3 linked regions of the Drosophila melanogaster genome follow. The protein of the gene in region 3 interacts with the protein of the main gene of each other region in a pairwise test. Each region holds a gene or a part of one and is shown on either strand. Other genes may lie near its edges.

Region 1 (9,127 bases), on a different chromosome or scaffold from region 3:
AAGAGCCCCCTTTTCTTCCGCAGAAGGTGCTTGCCAAAAAAACAAATGCCATTTGATGGTAAGTACCACTTAAAAGTACGAGTATGTTGATTTATTTAATTTTCAATGATAACCAAAACAATGTCGGGATATAATAATAATAATAATAATAATATAATAAAATTTCGTTTCGAATGGGTATCAGGGTATTTGTTTCAAGAAGAATTGAAACCAGTCTGTATGGTATTTCAGCGGATTTGTATGACATATAGTATAAATCTATATGGTCTATCAGTAGTATTATATTTCATTCGAAATGTATTCATCTTGGCCTGCTTATTGCACAGAGATTCAAGGAATTCGCATTCATGGCTCATTTTGATTTATAAGAACGCAACAGAAAGTAAACAAATCAGGGTAGTGGGCATCGCACTATATAGCCAAATATATAGCGCAGCCTCTGGCTTCTTTCTTTATTTCGCGATCACGCTTTGATCAGGTGCTCTAGGTCAGTTACGGCATGCTGATCACTCTGCGGCGTTCTGTCTTCTGTCGCGTTCCAAAAATAAACCAGTTCTAAATTTATGATTTAAGTTTATGCTGCGCAGTTTATCAGCACTTTCGGGTGCTGATCTCTCCCTGCTGGTCCTGACTTTTGTCTGCATTGATAAGGCGAAAGAATCGTACGTGAGTCGCGCGCCTTCTTCAATCTAAATTTAAATCACCGCCAGAGGGATTTTGAAACTATGCGGTATACTATATAATATGCTATCAGGTGGCCTACACAAAAACTGATAACCAAGCGCCAATGGCTAATAATGTGGTTCGACTGATATGGATTGTCGGCCAGTTTCATCAGCCGTTTTGCACGTTTTTTAGCGGTGGGCCCACGACGCGTGTCTCTATGTTTAATTAATAATTATGCTTTGAGTCAGTCTGAGTTGCCTGACTTAATTTTTTTTATTGCTGTGCGAGTTGTCTAGACATTGGGTACCTTTCCACTTTGGGCGTGTGAATCTGGCGAGCTACTTGTATGTTTTCTTTTGGATCAGGCTCACGCAGCTGGTGAATGATTTGGCATGCTGGAAATAAACAAAATTTCCGTTTTTCTATTGAAGCGTTTTAAAAAATTGAATTTTGAAAATATGAAAACATAACGTGTGGAAATTTTTTATAGTCCCATAGAATAAATAGCCCCATAGAAGGGCAAGTTAATTATTGAATACATCAAATAATGATAATGATTTTAATAATAGTTAAAATCATGTTAACCATATAATTAACAAGATTCAGCAACATGGGGACACACCTTAATCGAGTGAAAAATGGAAAGTCGCTCGCATAAATTGAAAAATGTCCCCAACGACATCCGTTGAAACCGAGGAAACTATAAGTACAACCGCATCCCCAAGATACATGCATGAGAAAATATGAAAATCTGCACAGAAATAGACAAGACATATTTATGTAAAAAGCGTGTGCCACTAAATTTGCCAGCGGGTGCAAACAAAGAAGGGGGTAAAATGCAATTTCAAGTGCAACCGAAGAGAGAAATCTTGCTGAATAATAGCATATAAGAGCAAAAAAAGAGAGTTGTGTAATTAGGAAGCCTGAATGCACCCTGAAAAAAGGTATAGGGCATTCCTGACGACAAGGAAGTAGAAAATGGGTGCCAATGTAAGTGAAACCTATCTATTCAATGGTTTAATCACCATCACGATATATCTTAATTTTTCACAAATCTAAATGAAAAGCTCTTCATTGAGATAAAATTCCCAGTCTCCATAACGTACATATACTACGCCCCTGTGCCATCTCATCTGGTCTATGCCGATAAAAATGACCGGCAACTGCAACGAGGCACTCAAGTAACCACTTCTGTATGCACGCAGGGATCTCTCGAAACCGGCTTTCAACTAGGCAAGCAACTTAGCCGGCCGGCTCTTTTGCCCCTAACCCCTTTCGAAACCCCTTTGTCCGCAGAAACCCCCTTCATCAGCGAGGTTCAATGGGATGCTGCGTTGGCAGTCGAAGAAGAAATGAAGAAAGTGCGCATTCAAAGTACGTTTTTGTTTAACAGTCGTTGAGGCTCTTGAGAGACAAAAAGCGTGATCTCTTCAGAGAGTTGCATTATCATGGGCTTCGAGATGTGATTTCAAATCAGGCATTACGAAAACATTTCCCTGATCAAAAAAGAAAAAGACTCGAATGTCCATGCCTATGCACCGAACCGCCATGAGTGAATGTACACCGAGCACGCACACCAAAAATAGAGCATAGATAAAACTCAAATACATATACAGTCTCTATATAAAGGAGGCCCAACCACAATTTCGAGTTCCGAATAGTCGAGCCTGAGACTGCATTTTTGAGCAGACTTGGTTGCATTCAGCGGTTTCCGCTTGTCTGGGACAGTTTTGATGTGGGTACGACAGATATCATGTGGGTCGAAACTGGCCTGAACTCTACATGCATAGATTGGAAAAGAAAAAGCGACGAGGAAAATCAATTTCAATGCTTCATTAGTTGAGTATTTGAAATTTTGAGCCTCTTACGCAGGTTTAGGTGTTGATTTCTATTTTAATAATGGCCTTACGCGCGAGTTTTATGGGATTGATGAGGAATTTTAAGCTATAATCACTAATGACTTGGACTATTTTTAATACGAATGCATTTATAATCAGCTGATAACTTATCAAAGCAGATAAAGTACTTTTTGAGACATAGACTTAGGTTTTATAGTATTTATTATTTATAAAAAATTTCAATTAATATAGTTGCATATTTTCCTTTTTTATTACCAAAATCGATTAAATTCGAAGAGCTTTTTATAAGTTCAGCAATGAAAATAGACTAAAAGTGTCTCATTCACGAGACCCTAATGGAAGGCCTAATTGATTTACATATGTCAGGGGAGCACCCTCACATAAAAGAAATGCGTGGGCAGACACATAAAACCAAAACCCACTCACAAATGAGTCGAGTGGTGAATAATGTCCCATATTCAATTGAGTGCGGAAGAGGCCCTTATAAATCTGTGTGTGAAATATCTTTTATAATAAAAAACAATTTAACTAATAATACCAATTCTAGTTCGTAAGGCTATAAATATTGAACTGAACAGACCAGAGGCTATAACCTATCGACTTCGATAAGATAAATATTTAAAAAGCTGAGACGGAAAAAGTGTTTGCCAAACTCCTTGAAATTCACTTGAGCGCCACGAGGCTCAGTGGGAAATTTGATTTTGGGAGATGGGATGCTTCCCGTGCATGTGATCATGTCTCGAGGGGCTGACACCCGTTTTGACTTTTGTCACCGCCAGTGGCGCCAAAACTAATCAAAGCAACTAGGACCGACGCTAAATCGAAACCACAACTACAATCACTGCGGAATACCAAAATGCAATCAAAATATGCAAGCCACGTCGATCAGGAGAGAGAGAGAGAGTGAGAGAGAGACCGGGGCTATTCTAGAAACCTAACGCGAGTTCAGAACGCTGAATTATGTATACCCTTTAAAGTACTAACAGAGCAGAAAACTTAACTGTTTTATGTGGTCGTTCATTAGTAGTAAAAATGGGATGATTTTATTTTATTCTGCTTTACTGTTATTTCTGTTTTCTGTTTTTATATACTGGCCTCTTGAATATATAACATTCTGATAACATTACAAACGCTCCACTAACATGTCTATATGTCTTGGAAGGGAATTCAAACAACCAATCTCTCTCTTTTTCTTTTTCTCTCTCTCTCTTTTTCTGTCGCCCCGATCAAGTCTTAACGGCAAGTTGCAGCAACAAACATTTTCATTCGTTTTCGCATCGTCGAAGCGTACGGTTCATAGGAGGAACGGAACGAAGCGGGGAACGCGACGGAAACTAGTTGCTGTTTTTTTGTCCGTGTTAAATAATTGACACAAGAAAATTTAGCTACACTTAAGCAAAGTCCGCGAAAAATCTATTAAAAATCGTTCGTCGTTTTGTGTGTGTGACCACGAAAAAAGTGCCCCGATCGGAGGATTTTAATAAATTCAATTAAGGTTCCGTCCCAACGATCGTTTTTCATTGTCTGACGCTCACGCGTGATGTACAAATGAAAAAGTAAAAATTTAAATAAGATCAAAGAAAGAAAGATCACAGTAAAATTTAAAGTGGATTGACTGCACAAGAAAAAGAAAAGTTCCTTACCTCCTAGCCAGAAGTCAAAAGTGAAGCGGAAAACAGAGTGGAGATAACAATTAACGGTTAGTTGTAAAGCTAAAACTACACAATAAACATATCATGAAAAACTTTATAAAACATAAGAAGGGGGGCATTTTATTATTTTGGGTATCAGCATTTACATCACCTTGTTTCGAATCAAACTGATTTTAACATGCATTTGGACCAAACTAACAACGTTTCGAATGTTATCTCTTATGGAAATGGTATTGCTATATTATACCATCATTAATTCCGATTCCACCTGAGATTAGCAATTAATATGAAATTTCATAAACATATATTATATATTCGGATCATGCATTCTATTTACACATTACTTTCCAATTAAACGTTCATTTATTGCCGCGCTTCGATTAGCAACAAAAACAAATCGTTAATTTTCTATATTTTTCCACAGGGGCTTCCATACCAAAGTTCCTTGTTTGTAGAGATCATTGTAATCAGCGCAGATCGAAGCCATATATAAAATGATTTCGCACAGTCCGCCCATATTCAGTCACAGTCCACCCGTTAGTTTTCTGGCGGACTTCATGAGCGGACATCCCCGTCAATCGTTGAAGTAAGTTTACAAAAGTATATAACTCATAAATAAATATAGCCAGCAATTGGACTAATTTAACACAGAATTGCTCTAAGTGAATCCACGAGTTTCGGCAGCCAATCAAAACAAATTAAATAGCCAAACATCATTGAAAGAGTACCAATTCTCAGGTTTTTTCATGTCGAAAGAAAATATTTTTTTAACTTTCTTATCGATTGATAAGGAACTAGAAGCATTTTCTGATGCATCATCTTTTATGAATTTAACAAGTGGTGTACGTGTTAATAAGAGAAACGATATAAATGTCTGATAACCTGAAAAACCATGTGATAGTAAATGAATTAAACTGAGAGATAAAAAATACATAACAGATAAAAATGATTAATACCCTTTTGCATTAGGCGTTCTCTCTGGCGAATATTTAAACAATAATTTTAAACATTCAAATTTAAAACAAATTTCAAAATACCCAAACATAACCCACATTAACAAAATAAACAGACCGGAATGCCGTAATTCCATTTAATGAATATAAGAACTCAGTTGTTTACACAATCCAGAAAAGGAATATTATCGATCTCTCGAGGGCTGCCCATATTGATTCACATGAAACACCTGTTTCAAGTGTCGTCTATGGAAATTTTAACACCTGATCAAAGGCAGGAAACATGTCTTACCCAATACATAGTATTAAAACCTGAGAACTATTCGAAAACACAATGAATGCAGGTACTAAAAATATTCGTGCTAAGGCTCGTTTTTGGTTGACAACAACAGATTGGCAAAATATGAAAAGCAAGCATTCAAGATCAAGGCAAGACAGAATACTGAACCAAAACAAACATTTCGCCGATTCTGAGGTGATCTTTCGCTGGTGGAGCCAACTGAGATTTGAAGATTCGTTCACGAGTCGTGGGGGTGACGCCAAAAATTTGCTTGGCGACAATTTGCGCGTGGCGCTTGACGCAACTTTTTTTCTCAGGGGCACACGAGCAAGCCGAAAATTTGACAAATTGGTAAAGGGAAGAAGGGTAATATCTATATATTATATTTATACAGAGGCGAGAGCAATTGATTGAATTAAAGCAATTTGCCGTGCTTCATTTGCTGCACGCGCTGCATTTTCATCATATTTGTTGAGAGTATTTTATTTTTGGGAATGATAAATATACAATACCGAAAATTCGTATAACTTATATTCGTATATATGAGGACTTCAGCTAAAAATAAATCTATATCTAGAGTATGGCCAAGCAAAACAAACGCTACAAGAACCGGTAAAAAACTAAATAATCAGTTAAGATTAAAGAGGTTCAGTAGATAAAACTGTGGGAGGTAATACATGCGAAAGCCCTACTGCGATCCCTACAACTATGAACATTTCTTATCGGGGCACGTGAGCGGCATGCCTTCAAACAAACCGAGTACTCCAACCAACTCAAGTAACTCAGCTGCTAATGCGTCAACTCACTTGAAATTTCACAGCGTGATTTTACAACAGTTTACCCCACCCAATACCTAGAACTACCCACGTAACTGGGCGGGTCGTCATCGAAAATGATTGAATTCTTTTGGTTGCCAACTCAAGCACTAAATATGCTGATATTGTCTCCAGACAGCGCCAATTAGCCAAAAAAAGTTGATGATAACAGCAGAGCAGACGGAAATGTTCCCATAGCCAGGCCCACGCCGAAAAAGACGTATCAGCATGCCGTCAACATATGTTTAGCATGCAAAAGTCCACGCGAACCCCATTGAACGATCCTTATCAACCATTGACTTTTAGTTTTATGAATGTCTAGCCGAAAAATTATGATAACTACAAATGGGATGTGAACTGTGCCAAATGAGTAAGACCAGCGAGTCTCTCCGACTATACAATTTTAGAAATGACTCACTGAAGAACCCAAACAAATATGCTTCATATTCATACTATACATTTCCCACCCACGGCAAACCCGAATTAAGTGAGGAGGTCGCGCGCAACTCCTCTTATCAGCGATGTTTCTTTATAGACAATATACACGTATCAGTAGGACTACACAAGTACAAGTACAAATACAAGTAGTACATGGGCCTCCGAACAATGAAGGCAGGCATTGAGGCAGTAAAAATTAAAGCCACCACTCTTATCAGGACTGATAAAAGGCAGCTTAATGCGTAGATGCTTGAAATAAAAGACTGATCTTGGGAATTTCTTTTCTGCTTTCCAAACGAAAAAAGAATCACAAAAAATGGTCAAAACAATTGAAAGATGGCTACCATCTGCTGATGTTTAAATATAGAAATTATATTTTCAATTAGTGGTGTTAGAGATATATATTTTAACTGATTGTGATATATTCAACCTTCGATATTCAACCTTTTGATTTTTTGAACGAATTCAACACTCATTTAAAAGGACAGAATAGTAACGAAATTAAGTTATGAAATAAATATTAAATAAATTTATTTTAAGAAACATTTTTATAGTTATTAATTTAAGTTTTGAAATACAAAAATAAACCAATTAAACTTGCATACCTTGTTTCAGCTACAATGACGAGCCCAACAGAGCGTCGCGCTACTGCCGGCCCCAAGTGATAACGCTGGCCTCCAAAGCCATGGTCAACAACGCCTCGGCGGCGGTCCAGGGTCAGGGTCCCAGTCAGCAGAAGGCGGGTGCCACGCCCCTGGGCGTGGGCAGTCGTTCCGGACGGAGTTACCTGGAGCGAATGGCCTCGGCGCCGCTACTCACCAATCAGCCCAAATCCTGTCTCAGCCGCAAATCCTGCCTGCACAAATCCCAGAACACTACAGCCAGTTCCGCAGATCTCTCGCCGACGGACACCGATGTCGCGGACAGTGCCAGTCATAGCTGTATCTGCAGCAAGGATAGTGACAGCAACGGCGAAGTGAGGTGAGTGTGCGGGCGATAAGATTACGTAATGTAGGTAACTCGATACAGCGGCGCCGAAACGATCAAGAAGGCTGTAAATGCCGGCGGACTCAGTCACTTTGACGTCAGGCCTTCAAAGATTATGGCGCCGCACTTATTAAACCACCAACTGAACTAGATGGGAACTTAGTGGTGTGAGAGCCTGGGTAATTGTGGTCAGAATTGGGTGTATCAACCTATAACAGATTCATTAAATAGTAAGATGTCAATTGAGGGGAAATCTTAAGGAAAGTCCGAGAAAGTAACACAAGAAGCTGTAGATGGTTTTCATAGCGCATCTTAACTATGTAGACTGTGGTCAAAAAGAAATCGAAAGCTTATGATTCAAACTTAAATCTTTGAATTTTAATATGGGGAGGATAGGATTTTGGTTCTAAAAATTGGAACGTGAAAAGATCATTTCTTATAAAACTGCGAAAATACCACTTCCGCCATAATATTTTATAAACAAAGATTAATCGTTTATAAGACATTTGCAATAGTTCTAGTAAAAGGAATAAGAAAATCTGTTGGCAGTCGAACAACTTTCCCACAGACGTCATAGCCGAGCACATGTCATTTATTAAATAAGCTGAGAAAGCCAATTGCAGACGGCCGCCAGGCTAAACAAATGCAAAAAGATCATGAAATATACTTGAAAATATATTTTATATATTTTTAAGAGCATGCAATTTCACAAAAACAAAATATAAATTATCTAAATGACTGTAGAAATAAGCCAAAATAAAAACACGCCACTGCATCGCGAGTCGAGAATCTGTATCTCGTATATCTGAGATAAAAAATCTCACATTTTAAGACTCAAATGGGAATAGACTGGTATTTAGTATAGACCCCAACAGCGAGGCGCCATTATTTTCGTTTTCCATTTCCATTTATTCGCTATATATAGGGAAGATACATTATCGATTCATGTGCAGGCCATGAAAATATTTGGGTTATCGATGTCTCGCAGATATTTTGTAAAATTGTATACATATGTATATTTCGCTTTCAACGAGCCCTAGAAATAATTTCCTTTTTGCACTTGAATCTGACATTTTGAGAAATGCCTAAAAATACATATGCCACGAGATAGAGAAAATAATTTATACGTTCATTTGCGTCAAATGCGAACACTATTTCTATTTGGGCTGCGTCTCTAGACAAGAGATCAGGCTTAAAGCTACGCAGCTACTCAAACGAATGCAATTAACCATAATATTATCAATGTAAACCAGACGTGTGCTTGTTGCTGTTGGAGATTTTGTGTACACTTTGCGGTTGCGTATTTTGTATGCCTCGTTTTATCAGTTACGAAATCCACTGGGAAAAAATTAATTTACCAATTCAAATCTTCAGAGTAAATTATAATTCATTTAAGTTAACACAAGAACGTAAAGCAATGCAATAGAAAAATTATTAAGAATTATATTTATTGGAGGCTTGATTTAAGAATTGAAGA
Region 2 (7,969 bases), on a different chromosome or scaffold from region 3:
AATGCCCAATTTTATATTATTTACGATTCCCTGGGGTACACTCATTATTTATTTTCTGTCAATCTGTCCATCAACACATTAACTAAGCGCACACCCACACCCACACACTCACCTGCGGGAATTCAGACAAAGGATAACAAAGTCATAGCCGAGAAAAACCAGCCACAATGGCCAACGGAATGGTGTGGGAAAAAGTTAAATTATATATTTAAACATTGCAATGCAAATTTTCCGACTGACTAATAGGGGGAGGGGAAAGTGGGAATGCCAGGTAGCATGCCGCCCAATTTGTGTTTTTTTTTTTGCGCATCGTAAAAGTGCCCAGATCCAAACCGCACTCAAAGAAATTATGTGAAAACAAAACTGCCGTGTTAGGGAAAATGCGCAGGAAAAAAGGGGGGAAAAGTGGGAAATGGCGAAAATGCGAAGGGAAAAAGGCCAAAAGGCATCACGCACGTATGGCATGTGGGGTTTGGGTGGTTAAATCATAAAAGAAAGGCGCGATGCCAGCGACGCGAATGAGCAAACAGCCTTAATAAAAATTTCATTTCCTTAATCAAATGCATTATCAAATTACAAAAACAATGGCAAAATCCTTGGAGATCCTGGGCGTGGCGGCATAAAAGAAAATTTCGCTCTGCGGCTCCTGCGGTTGCTGGGCTGGAAAAAGTGAGACGAAAAAAGGGATACAACTTCCACCTGCCCGATGACAACCGACAACGCATATCCTCGATATCCTTTCCACTGCCACTGTGAAAAGCTCAGCCCATTTAAGTCGAGCAGATAGCGCCAAAGTGTGGGCCCAGATATACTTGGCTTATGCGTATCAGCAGATTTAGACCAGATAATTCACGGAATTTAAGAAGAGCACAGCGATTTAAGTTAAGCGCCAGTTTAAGATTTACTATTTTATTTATTTGTGTATTTATTTTTTAGTTTTTATTTATATATAAGCGAAATCAGAAGCTTACTCCTACTTCTCTCTTAAATAACTTTTCTTCTGAAGATTCAAGTACCGTTTGTGTTTAATTCTAGAGCTTTAGCATTTAATCTATAATAATATAAATTTAGTATCTTGCAAATAGCTTCTATGTAACTCAGTACTTATGGTTTAGGAACAACAACAAATTTCTCTACATCTGGTCTGTGCACTTTGGCCAACTTAGGCTTAGATTGTGTGAAATTCTTAGTTGCGGCTGCTCGGGAACCACCCGTTGTTACCACCACCCACTTAGTAGCCCCGCCGAGGCTTTGAATTTATAAGTGCACTCCCCACAGTTCCGGCAATGTTCTCCTATTTTCCTCACTTTTCCAGGCGATGGATAATGGCGAGGGGTCGGTGTAGTGGCGGTGGTGGTGGGGGGGGGGGTAGATTCCAAGCTGGTGCTCGTTCAGCCAACCAATAAACACGACGCTTATTTCGTTATAAGCTAAAAAGTCAATGATTGCATTTGCATTCTGTTAGATTTCTGCATCGAAATTATGCCAACGTCTGGCTCGACGGCCAGCACCTCAACCAGCGTTCGCCAATTGCGTACACTGAAACAAAACGAGAATTTTATTTATTATTATTATTATTATTAATACGTCAAAGTAGGTATCGTTAGACTTAATACATTATTTAATATGAATAATAAAGTTAATTTTATTTTATGTAACCTACAAAGTATGTTAATTTATACTTTACATTGCATTGATATTAAATTTCATAGATGTTTTATGTACATATATATTATTATATAACTTCATATAACTTTCTTAAGAAAGTGAATTTCTTTGGCTTGCTTTCATTAAATATATCAAATTATCGAAGTAATATTACAAAATTAATTCAAAGAATCTTTCATCTTCCCTTAATATCCTTTTATCGTATTTTTTATCCAAGTGTTTTTGGCCGTCTGTTTAGCCTGTTGTTGCCGGAAAAAGGGCAGTGGGTGGTGTTGGGTGGTGGGTGGTGCTGTCACTTTCTGGATGTCGGAGGATGTTCTATGTTGGGTGGGTGGTTGATTGCAGTTCAGCTCGGCAGCTTGGCAGCCTCGGCAAGTGCAAAGGCCTTTTGCGTGGCAAGGAAATTAGAAATGGAAATTATTATCGTAATTCGTAATGTTGCTGCAATTGCAGTTGTTGTTGTTTTGTTGTTGTTGTTGTTGCTGTTGTTGTTGCTGTCCGTTGTTGTTGCTGTTGTTGTTGTCTGTTGCTGTTGCTGTCATGTAATTACACAGCACCCAAACAACCCGAAGAGCGTTGATTGTCGTTATTAGAAGTAGTTTGCTGCTGCTCTTCTGCTTGGCTCCACTCTTGTTTTTGTTGCCCCAGCGAATCGTGCTTCGTCGTTCTGCCGCCGGATACCAGCCAGCCCCGCATCCCCTCTTCACCCCTTCGACATCCTTTCGACCCCCAATTCGATGGAAATTTATGTGGCGGAAGCACCCCAACCCTCACGCCTGAAAATACTGAATGTGGTGCAAAATTCGACTACCAAGGAGACTAACTTGTCGTTAGAAGTCGGCAAATAGTTGTTCTAAAGGGAAAGTTCTCAAGGGTGAACTGAAGTCGCAAACACTACTTTTTATTTGCAATTCAATTTAAAGACATTGCGAAAATGTAAAGCAAGTTGTATCAATATTAAGAATATTATAATAAATATCTAATAAACAGAAATAACATTGTTTCTTTAAAACTATAACACTAGAAGAAATACAATCATTCAATGAAGAAATGTTCTTTTATTGAATATTTCTAAAATATATTCCTAAATATTTTATAATAATTAAATAAAAGTATATATTAGAATGGCCAATTAAACGAGCCAATATACATTATCAAACTAATAATCGAAGAATTAGTATTATTGGAAGGTAAGAAGGTAAAAATAAAACTAAGTCCTGTTTTGGTTCTAGATAGTTCAATACTTTTGAATGATAACTTCAAGGGCCTAATCACTTCACTGCGGTTCATTGGCCCCGGATATGGACTATTTAATATTACCAAGGGTACTTGCCCCATAGTCATTGCTGCAGAAGGGGTTAATAGTCGACCAGGGACAATGACATTGCGTTGGAGGTGGAACCAAAAGCTGGCAGGACGAGGCCTAAATATATGTATATAGGCAAGGAGTGCAAACTTCAGCCAATCGATAAAAGTAGCTGCATATGCAATCGAGAGGGCCCGAAAACAGGGCCAAGCATTTCCGCTATCTATGTAAAGCAACGGATTCGAAGAGTGAGTGGAAGAGGAAGTGGGCGGGGCCATTGAGGGGCTGCGTATCCTGGTGCAGCAAAGTTTGCCTATCGTTTCCGCTTCGTCCTGAAACGAAAGTGTTGTCTACGATTTCCAGCACTTGCTTAAGAAACTTAAAAACGAAACGGGAAGGAGAAATAAAATAAATTTAATTGCCTACCTTGTTGATGTTGTTGTTGTTGTTGTTGAACCTGCTTGTCCTCTCGACTTAACCTGTTTTCCTGCCATTTTCTGACGCCAGCGAAATGGAAAATGATTTTACAACGGCCAACTGCCGAAAAGAACATGGAAAAGAATAAATTAATTCGTATTTGGCCGAAGCAATCGCCCCCGTTTTCCCAGACTTTATCTTTTGGTTTTCATTTCCAAGCGGATGCCGTCTAATTGATTCAATTTGTATTCATTTTACATGTTACCCACGATCTGGATTCGTAATTAATGAAAATCCAAAATTCTTATAAAAAATCATTTACATTTATATGATAAAATTGGGAAAGTGGAAAAGCTGTGAGATTGCAGGGCAAAAAAAATAATACTCAATCAATTCCGAGGTTTTGAGGCTATACCTTATCAAGTGTGCAATATTTAATCAAACTCCTGATTAGATTATTGTAAAGCAATGAGTAACACCAGGAGATATTCGATTATTATAGAAAAAAAACCTAAATGAACCTTTCAGTTCGCTTTTTCCTACCAACCAATGCGGTCTACATATTTTCTATCGCTATGAATTCAAGAAGTAAAAGCGCTATATTGCATTTAAGTTCAGATGACACAGAATCATTTTCGAAGGTATAAATAGTATTTCTTTTTGAAGAACATTAATTTTAGCATTTATCTTTTTAGGCGAATTATTGTGACTGCAACGATTTCGATGAACCGAAAATGAACTTAAAAATGGTACTTGAAAATAAGCTAAGAGACATGGAATTTAAATTGGCAATTGCCAACGAAAAGTTGGCCATATTTGACGATAAAATTAAGGACAAAAACGAGATAATTGAGGCCTTAAAAATGTCTAACAACCTTTATAAATCAGATTATAAGGATAGATTTGATGCTCAGGCAAGCATAATTGAAAAACTAGAGGAGGAATTGTCAACCTTAAGAAAAGCGAAGTTAAACTCTAGCCAAGATCTTGAGACAACCAAAAATAAATCAAAGTTAAGATCAACAATTTTTTTTTTTAAAGAAAGCGAAAAGGAAAAAAAGTTACTTATTTCTTCCCTCGAAGCGCAGATTAAAGAGAAGGCTAAAACGGAAATAGAAAACTCACAACTTATTAAGTCCTTAAAGTCTCAGATAGGCGACAATGATGTAAAGCTAAAGGACAAACAAGATCTTATAGCAACACTCGAAGCTCGTTTGAAAGAAAGCGATAGTAAAAATATTGAAAACGAACATATGATCCAATCTCTAAGCGTTAAAATGTGTAGGATAATTTCTGAAGAGAAAGAATATAAATCTCTTATAGCAACCCTCAAAAATCAGATAGGCCAAAAAAGCGAAACACTGGAAAAAAATAAAGGGATAATAACTTCACTCAAGGCTCAAATAAAGGAGAAAGATAAAATAAATGGTGAAAACTCAAAAGTTATAGCAAATCATAAGGCACAGATTAAAGAAAAAGATGACCAAATCACATATTTGGAATTGGGTCTAAATTTGGAAACTTGTAAAACGCGGGAAAAGGATGAGCTATTAAACGATCAAGCTGCTACCATAATGAAACTGCAATCTAATCAGGAGAGAGTGAAAGAAACCCATAAACTTATACCATCAGAGGGTCAACAAATTTCCAACGCTTTGTAAACAAATTTATTTAATAAAACATATATACTTTTATATCGCAAAGAAGAATGTTGTACATTTCAGCTTTATGTCAGCAAGGGGACGCCATCATGCGGGAATTTCAATGACGACGGTGCTGCCACCCTCGTGAAAAAAGGTCCTTTAAACCGCTATTCCCAAATACGTTTAAATATTTCCCCATTATTCAATTTACTATAAAAAATTCAACGGTCGTTGATTTTTTCGGGAAGTCCCCTATTTTTATATTGCTAATCTGTAGTGCAAATACTTCATCAATAAATGGTTATCTTACAATTAGATAATGGTAATAGTAACAATAAAAAAATGTGAGCTGTATTATCTAGCCTTTGATACAAAAGACAAGGTGTTCCAGAGAATTTGCTTTTTATTACATTTGACAGCTTATCATTCAAGATAACCGAATAACCAAAATAAACCTTTTTTCGTTTGCGGTTAGTCAGTGAGAATTAGCTGTTCGAGGGAATGGCTAGCGCCAAATTTGAAACGATGATGGAATATTTTGGTTTAGAAGAAAAAACAACGATTTTTAACTTAAATCCTTACTGTTTATATGAAATATTTCGTCAAATTCACAAAAACTGCGCATTCAAGCAAACCAATGATATATTTTTAAAGTACAGTGATCTTATAAACTTTGCTATTTGCTGTGATCATCTCAACAGAACGTTCAAAAAATGGAGTCTCAATCTTTATAAGGAGCTGTGTATTGAAAACACATTCCTCAATACGTACATATGCGTAGAGATTAATTTCTCAAATCTTCATTCGCACATTTATGGATTGTCGAACAGTGAAAAGAAAATGTTCTGGATGAATTTCAAAAATCACATTATGGATAACGAACAACTGGAGTCATTAAAGGTAATTTACGAACCAACACGTTACTGGAGTGATTACTTGGAAAGATTTGAGGACCTCATAAAATCGCTTCATGTCAAGCCAAAACTGAGGGAGCTCTCTGTTTACATAAATGGTAGATAAAAATTTTTTAAATTTAAATTTAAAAAAAAGAATAACTAATCAATAAATCAATGCTTTTAGGATTCAGCCTTGAGATCGTGCCGCAGATCACTCATCTAGAAAAACTAGAGCTGAATGTCCGAATGCATTCCAGTATCCTGGTCGAGCTGTGTAAACTGAATCCAAACCTACGAAGACTCATTCTAAGGAATTCCGAAATATTTGGCAGATTATCGGATATAGTACCTCATTGCAATCAACTGGAATATCTGAGCTTTGTGATGAAAGAGGTAGATGCATCCGAGTACGTAGCCCTGGCCAATTTGCCGCAACTTAAGTCATTAATTCTGTGTGGCGAGCATCTCGAGGGATCGCTTGTGAAGCTTTTTAATCGCTTCCAAGAACACCAGCACATCCAGAGCATATGTATCCCGGAAACATATGTCAGCAATGCAGAGGCCATCGCCTTGGCATCCATTCGCTTAGTGGTTTCAATTAAGTGCTGTTTGCGGGATAAATCGATCTATTCGGACTTGCCGTTAAGCGGAAAACTTACTCATATCTACATTCTGGGTCACCCCATGCAATATAATCCAGACAATCCGTATTACAATGAAAAGGAGGAGGATTTTCTCAAAGTGACTTATAGGGCACATAGACCGTTAGCCGTCGTGCGTGCATATTATCAATATTGGCAGACCAAAGATCCAAATCTATTGCAATTGGCCTTCGATGAAGATTATTTGCATGCACATCGTCTCTATTGCATAGGCTGGTATGATGCCAAGATTTTACCAGCTACAATGCACAATTCATCAGAACAATTCTCGGTCTCTATCACCGGAATTGTGCTCAATAAAAAGGTATCGATTTCCGATGCAGAACTTGCCGTACTGGCTTCCATACCCACGCTTACCACCATTCGATGTTCATTTGTTCAAATAGAGCAAATAATCGCGGTTAAACTCCAGCAACTTAATGAGATTACAAATACCGCAAATCGAGTGGATAAAATTAAAACCGAATTTTGCAATATTCGTTTCGTTCATAGCCACGAATCTGTGACGCTCGTACTGGAATTCTTTGTACAGTGCATCCTGAGTTATGGGAGTATCCTTGCTCCTCTTGCCAATTTAAGAAATTTGAAACGTCTGGAGATAAAGGGAAAACTTATGAGCGGATCATTGGTGGAGCTCTTTAGGGCTTTGGCCGCCTTGGATAAACACACACTGCAGCAACTAGAAACTGCATTCCTTGACCCAGAGGAACTCGAAGAGGTGGTAAAGATACAAAGCTTGAGGATACTTAAAAGTGGTTTCTTCTGCTCAAAATATATAAATGAACTTGGCAACTTGGAGCAATTGGAGGAGCTTACACTTATCGTTCATCCGCAGGGATCTCTGATAGAGTTGTTCGCTGTCCTGGAATCCAAGCAGCCTCAAGTACTCAAAAGACTCGTTATTCAGAATGCAAAACTTACTAAACAAGAAGTTGGCCACCTTGCTGGCATAAGATCCTTGGAAAGCCTTCAGCTCGGTCTGCCCGAAGTAAAATATTGGGAACAGCAACTAAAAGATACAAAAAATCAGGCATTCGTAAACTATTGTCAAAAGTGTCTGCTGGCCCCGGTTTCATTCACATATGAGAACCAAACTCATCAAACTGACATTCATACATTGATAACTGCGACAGATGAAGATCCCTTGGATGCTCAGTTTAATTTTTTAACGCAATCGTATGGCACATTGACTCCCACGAACTTGGCACTCTTGGCCAATTTGCCGAACTTAAAGGAATTAAAAATTTATTTTAATTACAATACACTAGATGCGGTGAACTTATTGAACACTATAGCCTTGCAGTATCCTCAAAAGGTAAGAACACTTGCATTTGCATCTCAGGACTTTAGGTTGGTGTCGCTGTTCAAGGACTTGCA
Region 3 (9,044 bases):
TTGACTGTACTGGCATTTCGCATTTGCATATTAGCCCGACGGCGGCTGGCAAAGTTGGTAGTTGGGGTTAGCCTGGTCAGCTTCCCTGGTGACGTTGATGGTGGGCATTATCACTGGTTTTATGCCGCCCGTGCATGATACGCTTTTCCTTATCGCCGCCATCGCTTGATTTATATCAGCCGTAAATATAATTGCAATATGGTATTCAAATGTGAGGCGTGACATGAGTGCGTGCCCATCGATCGATGGCAATGGCGATGACGATGTGTCCACCACTGGTACTAGCGCACTTCCTTGCCGTACGGTTGCTTCGGCTGCTGGCCAAGCACACACCCAGTGCCCAGGTATTTCCGATCCCGTGCCAGATCCTCTTCCCTGCGAGCAGCTCGCTCGGCAGCCGTGTGCGTCATGTACTGCTGGTGCCAATCGCGATTGTGAATCTGGAGCAATGAGAAGGGGTTGGGTTGTTGGCATTGTGACTAAGAGGAAAGGCAGTTGGAGGCGGGCATGCAAACTCACCCTGGCGCAACGCTTCTCCATGAGCTCCTCGTAAATCTGGCGGTCTTCGAGGATGTTGTAGCCCACATCCTCACGGATATTGGCCTGTGCTTGCCGAGCGCTGATGGTAAGATTCCATTTGATCTGATCCTGCAAGTCAATGAGCTGCTGGCGCCGTTTATCCTTGAGCTTCTTCAGATCTTCTTGTTTCTTGAGCACATCCATTTCGGCAGCCAGTTCCAGGCTATGAAAGGTAGTTGATTGGATTACCAACATAATCCATTCGATTAGTATATTAACTAACTGAATCTCTAGGGAACCTGGTACTCACGCCTGGGAACATTCCCGTTGGTCTGCCAACACCTCCTTGGCGAACTGGGCCTTCTGCTCCCGATCAGTGTCTAGATTGTGGGCTTGGCACCTGTTCTCAATCAAGTTGCGCAGTTTCAGCTCATGCTGCTCCTGCTGGGCCTTACTTTCGTCCAATCTCTGCCAGACGCGCTGCCAAAGAATCTCCACACAGGCCTGGCGGCGTTTGAGCGCCTTTTTCTCCTCGATTTGATGGAGTTGGGCTTGCTTGGACTCCAGCAGGATCTCCTTGGTTAGCATGTGACGATGGGCCTCGGAGTTCTCACTGAAAGTGAGGTGATTTCAGATGGAAAAGGACTTAAAATTCTACACTCAAAACCTACATCTCCCTTTGCTGCTTCTTTACTTTGACCAGCTCCATTTCGGCCTCCTCCCGCTTCAATCGCTCCATTTCGATCCATTCGTGTCGCTTTCGATCCGCTTCATCCGCCTGCGCCTGCAGCATCTCTGCAATCTGCTCATCCGCCTCCAAGGCTTCCTTTTGGAGAAGAAGACAGAGGTTCCAACGACGGTTGTCCAAATCCGCGTGCCATTCGTGCATCTTTTGCGCCACCTGGAAACTTATTTGAGATTTTAGATTGCGCCTATCGGTTCGTGTGAGGAATTCCACAACATCCATTTTTTTGAGCTTCTTTATTCTAATTGTACTTAATTATGTGAACTTTTGATTGTTTTCTGGTATCTAAGCACCGCACAATTCAAAAATTCCCATGACAACTATTTGTGAGTTAATTTTATAAATTTTTAAGCAATAAAATATTTGCAATAACTATTTCTCAAATAATAGATTTTATTTTTCGAAATTTAAATAATTAAATATTTAATTAAAACTAGATATGACCCAACATCCAATAAATTCATAATTTATTAGTTTAACATAGTAAATGTAGTAGTAAAATACCGGCAAACCTTTGATTTAAGTTATTTCAAGAACATTTGTCATATTTGCCAATTAATATTGAAAGCTTAAAAACATTTTTTAAGTGAAATTTAAAAGAAAACGTTTTGGCGCAAAACCAAACGTAAAATACTAAATAGTTGGGAAAATGCAAATTGTGGTATTATTGGCACACGCACCATCTGGCAACTTTGCGACCAGATGTTTCCGGATGGCCTTTGAACAGGCGTAAATTGTATCCAAATTGGCAGCAAACCCTTGGAAAGCAAGCAATGAAACCGTGTACAGACAGGAGAAGGGGGCACTGAAGGTCGAGGCAACGCAGGAATCGAGGGATATCGCCAGCAAATTGCCAGAAATTGAAGGTAACGAACCCGAAGCACCCTGTGCCGGAGTTTGTGACGCAGTTACACAACTAAATTCTTAGTAGGCGCCCAAAGTCGGGGCAACAACAAGCTGCTAGCTGAATCAACGTGTGCCAGCTAATTGGTGCCAATCACACTGCACTCTGGAGCTCTAAAACCGTAAGAGACCCCCGTTCTTGGACCCCCTCGCAAAGGTACGTCCATCGATTCGGCGATCTATTTTTAGCCGGAAACATGCGATTGCTATTGATGATTATCGGTTTATTTTTCAGATCAGGGACACGGCGGCTTTCACTTTCGAACACATCGGCGAGTTCATTGGTCCACCTTCAACATGGTCGTGGCAGCATCCACCTGCCGCACGGAGACGGTCTTCGATTACAGCTGGATGAACGTGGTGGTCGCCTACTGGAACCGCTACCCGAATCCCTCAAGCACGCACGTCCTCACCGAGGACACTATTCAGCGGGAGGTGCGCGATGGCAAGCTCTTCTCGCGCCGGCTGCTCTCCAAGACGAATCCGGTGCCGAAGTGGGGAGCTCGCTTCTACAACAATGTGCCGGTCAAGATTGTTGAGGACTCCGTGCTGGACCCGGTTAAAAAGACATTCACCACTTTCACCAGGAACCTGGGAATGACCAAGATAATGGCAAGTGATCGCACACCTACTACGATTGCTTTAAATAGGTCACATATCAATTTAAAGAAATGTCTAGAAGAATTCAGCCACTAGCTGTTGGGCATGACCGAAATACCGGCATAATACAAAAGCATAAGTGTTACCTAACAGATCGATGGTCAATGCTGTGGCATTGTTTGTTATATTTAACCCATGAAACGCATACAGAACATCGGGATCCGGTTAAGATTATTGTTCGATTTATTTTACTGCACCCTTTTAGTGAATATGTGAAATATGTTACTTAATCTTTTCAAGTTTAATTTAATCCTAATTAATGATCATTGTTTTTTCCTTTTAGAAAGTCGATGAAATTGTCGTCTACAGCGAGCAGAAGGATGGTAGTACTCTGGCGGTGCGAAGAGCATACATTAGTTCGCAGGTGTTCGGATTCTCGCGGGCCATTCGCGCCTTCGGCATCGAACGGTTTAAGGCCAATGGCAACAAGGCCTCCAATGGATTCAACTACGTGCTGCGGCGCATGTTTCCGGACAGTTTGGTTGGTGGAGGACATCACCAGCACGCGGTGACGACGACTTCGCCAGCTGGAGAACTTCCTGCAACGACCATCACCGTATCCACAACAAACGGCAGTCTCAACAACCAAGGAGCTCTCAAGAGCGCCGCAAAAGTGGGCTACGAGTTCTTCAAGAGTCATGCCTCCAAGATTGCGCAACTGTTTTCTGTCAAGAACTGAGGAACTTCTAGTCTGTACTTTTTGGAATAGATGTCGAATGGGACCGAAGATTTTAATGCTTTCGGCTCCGGGAGTTAAGGAGTTTGTGGATTTGACCAGGACGGAATTAGAATGACGAGCGGAGGAGTCGTGTCGCCGGGTGTTTTTAAACATTTATTCCAAAGCAAATCCAACTACATACTTTGCTGCATTTCATTCCGTGTGTGCGCGAATCAAACGGCTGATCTGAACGGAGACACAATTTGCTGAACACATTTCCTGCATGCTACCAAATTCTATTATTTATCGTTACTTATTTGCACTACATTATTATGTATCATTCTGTTAGGTCAAGAGCAGGAAATGAAAAGCCGTGTCAAAATTGGTATTGCTATGTAATATGTTGTATATTTTTATCAAAATATAAGAAAACCAACACTTGTAGTGGTTAAAAGTGTAGTTATTAAAATAAACTTAGTCTGTTAGAAATGTACGGCTGTTTCTTTGAACTGGGTCTAGTCATAAAAGAATTTATGTTTACAGAATTTATAATATTTATATTATACAATTTATGTAATATTTATAATATCTATTCATTTTTTTATTATTTTATTTTATTGTTATGGGCGGTTAATTTTTTAGTAAAGCTTGTTTATAATGAATTGTTAATATTAATCGGTTTTTAATGCGTACTATTTGATTCATTTGTATATATTTTTCAATTGGTTTTAAATTATTTCTCTGCAAATATTCGTTATAACCAAGGCTGCCATATTTTATACAGAAGTCAGCTGGCCCGGTGCTACCGGATCCGTGACGCAATTCCGTTGGTTTCCAACACTGCGGCTCTCCCACGCAAAAGCGCTCGCAGCTTTTAGGTAAAATCGGCGTTCTTTCGAACATTGGAGAATCCAGAGCCACCTGGAGTCGCATTCTTAATCCGAATTCCCAACCGTTCGCGTCAAAGTCGCGCAAAAACAAATAACTGCGAGTATAGTTAATCGCACGAAGAACTGCAGCTGAAATCGCGAGACAAAAGTGCACAAAAGACACAGCGAAGCAAATACCGTACAAATCGGCTGCGTTTATGGCGCACCAGGAGAAGAGAAAGAATTTGCGCCCCGCCGCCCCCGCCTTTCAACACAAAAACAACAACAACGTGGAGCAGAGCTAACACAAAAAAGATATATAGAATAAAATATATATTTTTGGTACCGCTTTTGTATGGTTAAAACTAATCAGAACGCTCCATTGATTTATTGAGCGCACACTGCCAGAGTTTTCGAGTTTTTCAAGACGTTGCCAGCTGTTGTTGCCGCTCTTCGTCGCACACCTCCCGCCAACCAGAACACCTCCGCCCCGCCTCCTTGCTTCGAAGAAAGCGAGAGCGCGGTCAACGTCCTGCGAAGAGAGTGAGAAGGGTAGCGAGAGCGCGATAAAAGCGAAGGTGAGCGAAAGGACACCGGCAGCCGCTTCATCTTCCTCTTCCCTCTCACCGCAATTCAACAATAATATAAAGCTGGTCTAAAAGTGGCAAACAAAGTTGTTGAAGATAAAGACACAGCGAAAGCAACCGGCAAACGTAATCAGCACCCAAATCCCCCGCGAACCAGAAAAATATAGCCAACATGCGCCTGTTTCCAGTCCGATTCTCAGCCGCCTCCTCGTCGATGGCGAGTTTGGCCAAAATGCTCGACTTTTACTCGGGCTTCAACCCCTCGCCCCTCTCGATAAAGCAGTTCATGGACTTTGGTGAGTAACTGGGCCTCAGTTTCTTGAACCCAAGGTGTTCCATACATCTATAACATATATATTTCAACGATCTTATCTAAGTGCTATTGAGTAATCGTACATGTTGATTTGGGTGAGGATCGGATTGATATTATAGAGATTGCCTAGTGAACGTGTTTCTATGGAAAGTTTGACACTCACTTTGTTTTGATTTGCCTCCAAAAGCGATTAAAACACTTGAGTTGTTCGCTTCGAAAATGGATTAAAATTTTAATTGTTTACGATAGATTTTTAATATATTTCTCTAAAGTGTATGTTATGTTATATATGTTTTGGGAAATATTAACTCACTTTTTACTTCCCTTTGTTTTCTATTATTCGTCATCTGTGTTGCATAACGAGATGACATAGAAAAGCTATAATAGGCAGACCTTTTATGTAGAGAGCAACATTTTCATGTTGTCTAAAGTTTCGTTTATAGTTTAGAATAAACTGCGCAAATATCCCGTTATCTAATAGTCAATTTCGTTCCATTGAATTGTCAATTAAGCATTTCCATCTACATCTATTATTTTGTCGACTGTGCGCTAGACAGAGAGGCAGACACAACCAGGCAGTATAAACAATTGAATGCTCAGTTCAATTCAGCTTAGCTTTGACTTTTCCTCGACCCAACCCCTCCTCCCCTTGCCATCTATTTCCATTTCAATCCGCTTCCCAGCCAACCGCCTGTTGCAAAAACGGAAGTCAGAATAGCTCAACTTGTTTATGAGAAGGCCGTGTTTTAGAATTCATAAACAAGTTTCGTCAATGAAAATGAAACACGAGAATGGGCGCGAGCAAGGCGCCTTTTTTCCGCCCACACTTCATTGAGCGCCAATAGCCGGCACGTGGCCTTCAATGACGTTTCAATGTCAACCAAACACCCCCTACAGACCACCCTCCAAAATCCACGGCTTCAACCTGCCCCAATAAAAGAACACGCAACTCTCCAATTCGAGTGGCTTCTGTCCCCAGAGAAGTCAAACTGTGTTTGCAGTGTATATTCTAAAAGTTGTATTATATCTTGATAAAAGTAAACGGCAGCAGATGCCTTTAGATACTGTTTCCACATAACCTTTTCATTTCAGACCTGCTCTAGTCGAAAATCAATTTTTTGCTGTGCAACCAGCAGACTCGAGTGCTAACTTCTAGGGCATTCTCGTTGAAAAACTGGCATGCGACGTGAGCAGAAATAAAAGCCAGGCCAAGTAGCTCGGCTGGAAGAGGAGGAAAATGTGAAAAAGGTTGGCCTCCGGAGGCTGAGCTATTATCATCTAAATTTAGACCAAAACAACAGGCTTTGCTTGCGCGTGTTTTCTATCCCTTTAAGACCACTTGTGCTGAGCTTTTTCCTGTTTTGTTTTTTTTTTTTAGTCAGTCTGGTATGGGCTACAAAATGGGCTAAATTAGTTTACAAGCATTTATGGCCATCCAATAGGCCAGCACCCCTCGGTGAAGGGGTATAAATAAATAGCTAATATATACCTGCCTATACTTGAACTTTGATGTCGGTCTGTAGATAAGGCTGCTTTGTGCGCTTGTTTTGTACCCAACTGTACCCGGCACTTAATTGTGTTTTTCTGCCGTTTGTGGGGGTCCATAAACTTGGAGTAATTATGCTTATATCTATAGAATATGGCTTGTTATTGGTTCGGTGTTATATATGCGCATACATTGTTATTATAATGCACCCGAGTTTATGATAATTCAGGTTAACCATCGATTAGCGCTTCGTGGACTGAGTGAGTGGGGTGTAAGAACTGGAAAGAGGGTTCTAAAATTCGCGCCTCAGTGACGAGCCTCGTTTTTTATACAGACTAGTCTTTAATATTTTTCGGCTATATTGTTTATGCGAAATTCACAATATCCGAAGGCCAAGAATTTATATCAATAGAAAATATATAATACTTATGGCATATATAGGGTGTCCAATTTGGAACCTCATCATGGTTGATCATGTGCCAATTCTCCGGGCGACAAAGAGCCACAATTATATCTGTGGCAATGCGGGGTTAGGAAAATTGAAAACACAGCGTCAGACAATTCAAAAGTATATTGTATAATGGATGCATTTCGATGGATCAGACCACCGTGACCATTTCGGGCAAAGTCCAGGATGCTGTCACCTCATTTCGCCCACAATTCGGGCCTGAACTTTGGAACTGCTTGCGGAAAAAAAGGCAGAAACGCGCACGTCAACACTTGGTCAAAATAAAAACAGAAACAGAATGGCCAGAAGAAGAGTGAGCACCCCGGCGATAATAATAATAAAGACGTAGTCGTAGTCACACGCGCCGTATTTTTGTATTTCTGTCACAGGGCGAATGTGAGTCAAATATACATACGAAAGTATTCGAAAGACTTTCACACAAATTCTTCCTCGCATTTGGGGGCCAATGGGTGGGGTGGGCTAATGCAGCTCAAGAGTCAAATTGCTGTGCTCCGCGAATCGACCGAACAGCTGTTTTACAAAAAAGGGGATGGTCATGGTTTGGAGGAGGGGCCAGCTGTGTGACGTCAGTTGGTCTAAAGATAGATGCATATGTGATATTCCACCCATTCTAATGTAATTGCATGAGGGGGTCACTGAGTGGACGATTGAGTCGTTTTCAGAAATTGGATTTCTTTGCGCCTTTGCTCAGCTGATTGCGTGCCAAATGCGTTGTAAATTATTGAATGCAACATTAACGACCCAATTAGCCTGTATCGCCAATTGAGTGGCTCACACTGATAATGGGAATGGAATTGAAACCGCAGCTCATTGTCGATTCTGAGCTCCGGTAATGAATTCGTGCGGTGGCCAGTTTTCAATTTCACTGCTAGAACACGCAACAGTTTTTCGCCTACTAGCAGCTAAGTTCTTGTTACATAACACCCATTGAATACTTTAGATCATCGTTTTTTTTTTTTTTTTCGAAACCTGTTGGGGCACACAAATTTGTTAATAGCTTGGCTAATACACAGCACGTAGTTATTAACTATTCAATGCTATTGATTATTAATAAAATAATAACTGAATGGCACAAAATCAAAATGAAATATGAAGAGTGCTTACTTAGCACACTTCTAATCTTTAATCCTCTTAAACTAACTTCCTTTTTTTATAGCGGGCAATTATCTAAGTGCATAAAAGGCACTTATGATTAGGACACTTAACGCCACTGCGAATTTATCGCCGATGAAAGCGAGGGTGCGCCTTATCATTATCAGCCAAGAGCAATGCATCAAAGTCTAAATACATATTGTGGAGTGCCAGACGCTTCTACATGACTGACGATCCGATCGAGTCTGGAGGTTTCTTTGCTCTGTTTACCACCCGACACTACAGTCAAAACAAGTGAATACACTGAGCGAGAGAGATAGGGCGTAGAGCGGTTCCAAAATGGCAAACAAGTAAACAAAAACAAAGCGATAAAAGCTCTGTTTTGAGGTCACCTGCGCCGCCCCAGCGTTTGGGGGGCGGAGCGGGCAGAACGAAGCGCGTGTGTGTTGGGGCGATTGCCGCACCCCCCTCCCCCTTTCGAGCACATTTTGATAGCTGTATCTCGGAGCGGAGATCTCTCGCGTTTGCGATCGCTTTCTGGCATGTTCTTGAAAACAATATCATCAGGCTATCGCCTCTCTTTCCGAATTTATGTTCGTCTTTATAACTCGTTTTATTGATTCTGTTTTGTTTGGCCAATTCGTTACAATTGACTCATAAAGCGGTTCCAGTCCAATTTATTCGGCATAGCCACGTCTAGTATACATATATGTATATCTAGTTGCTTTTTGCGTTGTATCTGG

The links.
Region 1: the proteins of Pdk (region 3) and Gbs-70E interact in a two-hybrid assay, tested with the Drosophila melanogaster proteins (one large-scale study listed by BioGRID).
Region 2: the proteins of Pdk (region 3) and CG10943 interact in a two-hybrid assay, tested with the Drosophila melanogaster proteins (one large-scale study listed by BioGRID).

What each region holds. Positions count from the first base shown.
Region 1 is NT_037436.4:14,545,634-14,554,760, reverse strand, and holds the start of Gbs-70E (glycogen binding subunit 70E), read left to right. Parts: upstream 1-3,785; 5' UTR 3,786-4,224; intron 4,225-4,601; 5' UTR 4,602-4,671; coding exon 4,672-4,763; intron 4,764-7,278; coding exon 7,279-7,644; intron 7,645-9,127.
Region 2 is NT_037436.4:12,858,875-12,866,843, reverse strand, and holds CG10943 (uncharacterized protein), read left to right. Parts: upstream 1-3,923; 5' UTR 3,924-4,032; intron 4,033-4,086; 5' UTR 4,087-4,125; coding exon 4,126-5,052; 3' UTR 5,053-5,127; downstream 5,128-7,969. Other genes in the region: CG32107 (uncharacterized protein), read left to right, coding at 5,560-6,046, 6,115-7,969.
Region 3 is NT_033778.4:9,422,137-9,431,180, forward strand, and holds the start of Pdk (pyruvate dehydrogenase kinase), read left to right. Parts: upstream 1-4,302; 5' UTR 4,303-5,113; coding exon 5,114-5,237; intron 5,238-9,044. Other genes in the region: CG13955 (uncharacterized protein), read right to left, coding at 282-440, 520-742, 830-1,132, 1,191-1,486; prel (preli-like), read left to right, coding at 2,465-2,779, 3,111-3,506. UniProt on the Drosophila melanogaster protein: Inhibits the mitochondrial pyruvate dehydrogenase complex by phosphorylation of the E1 alpha subunit, thus contributing to the regulation of glucose metabolism.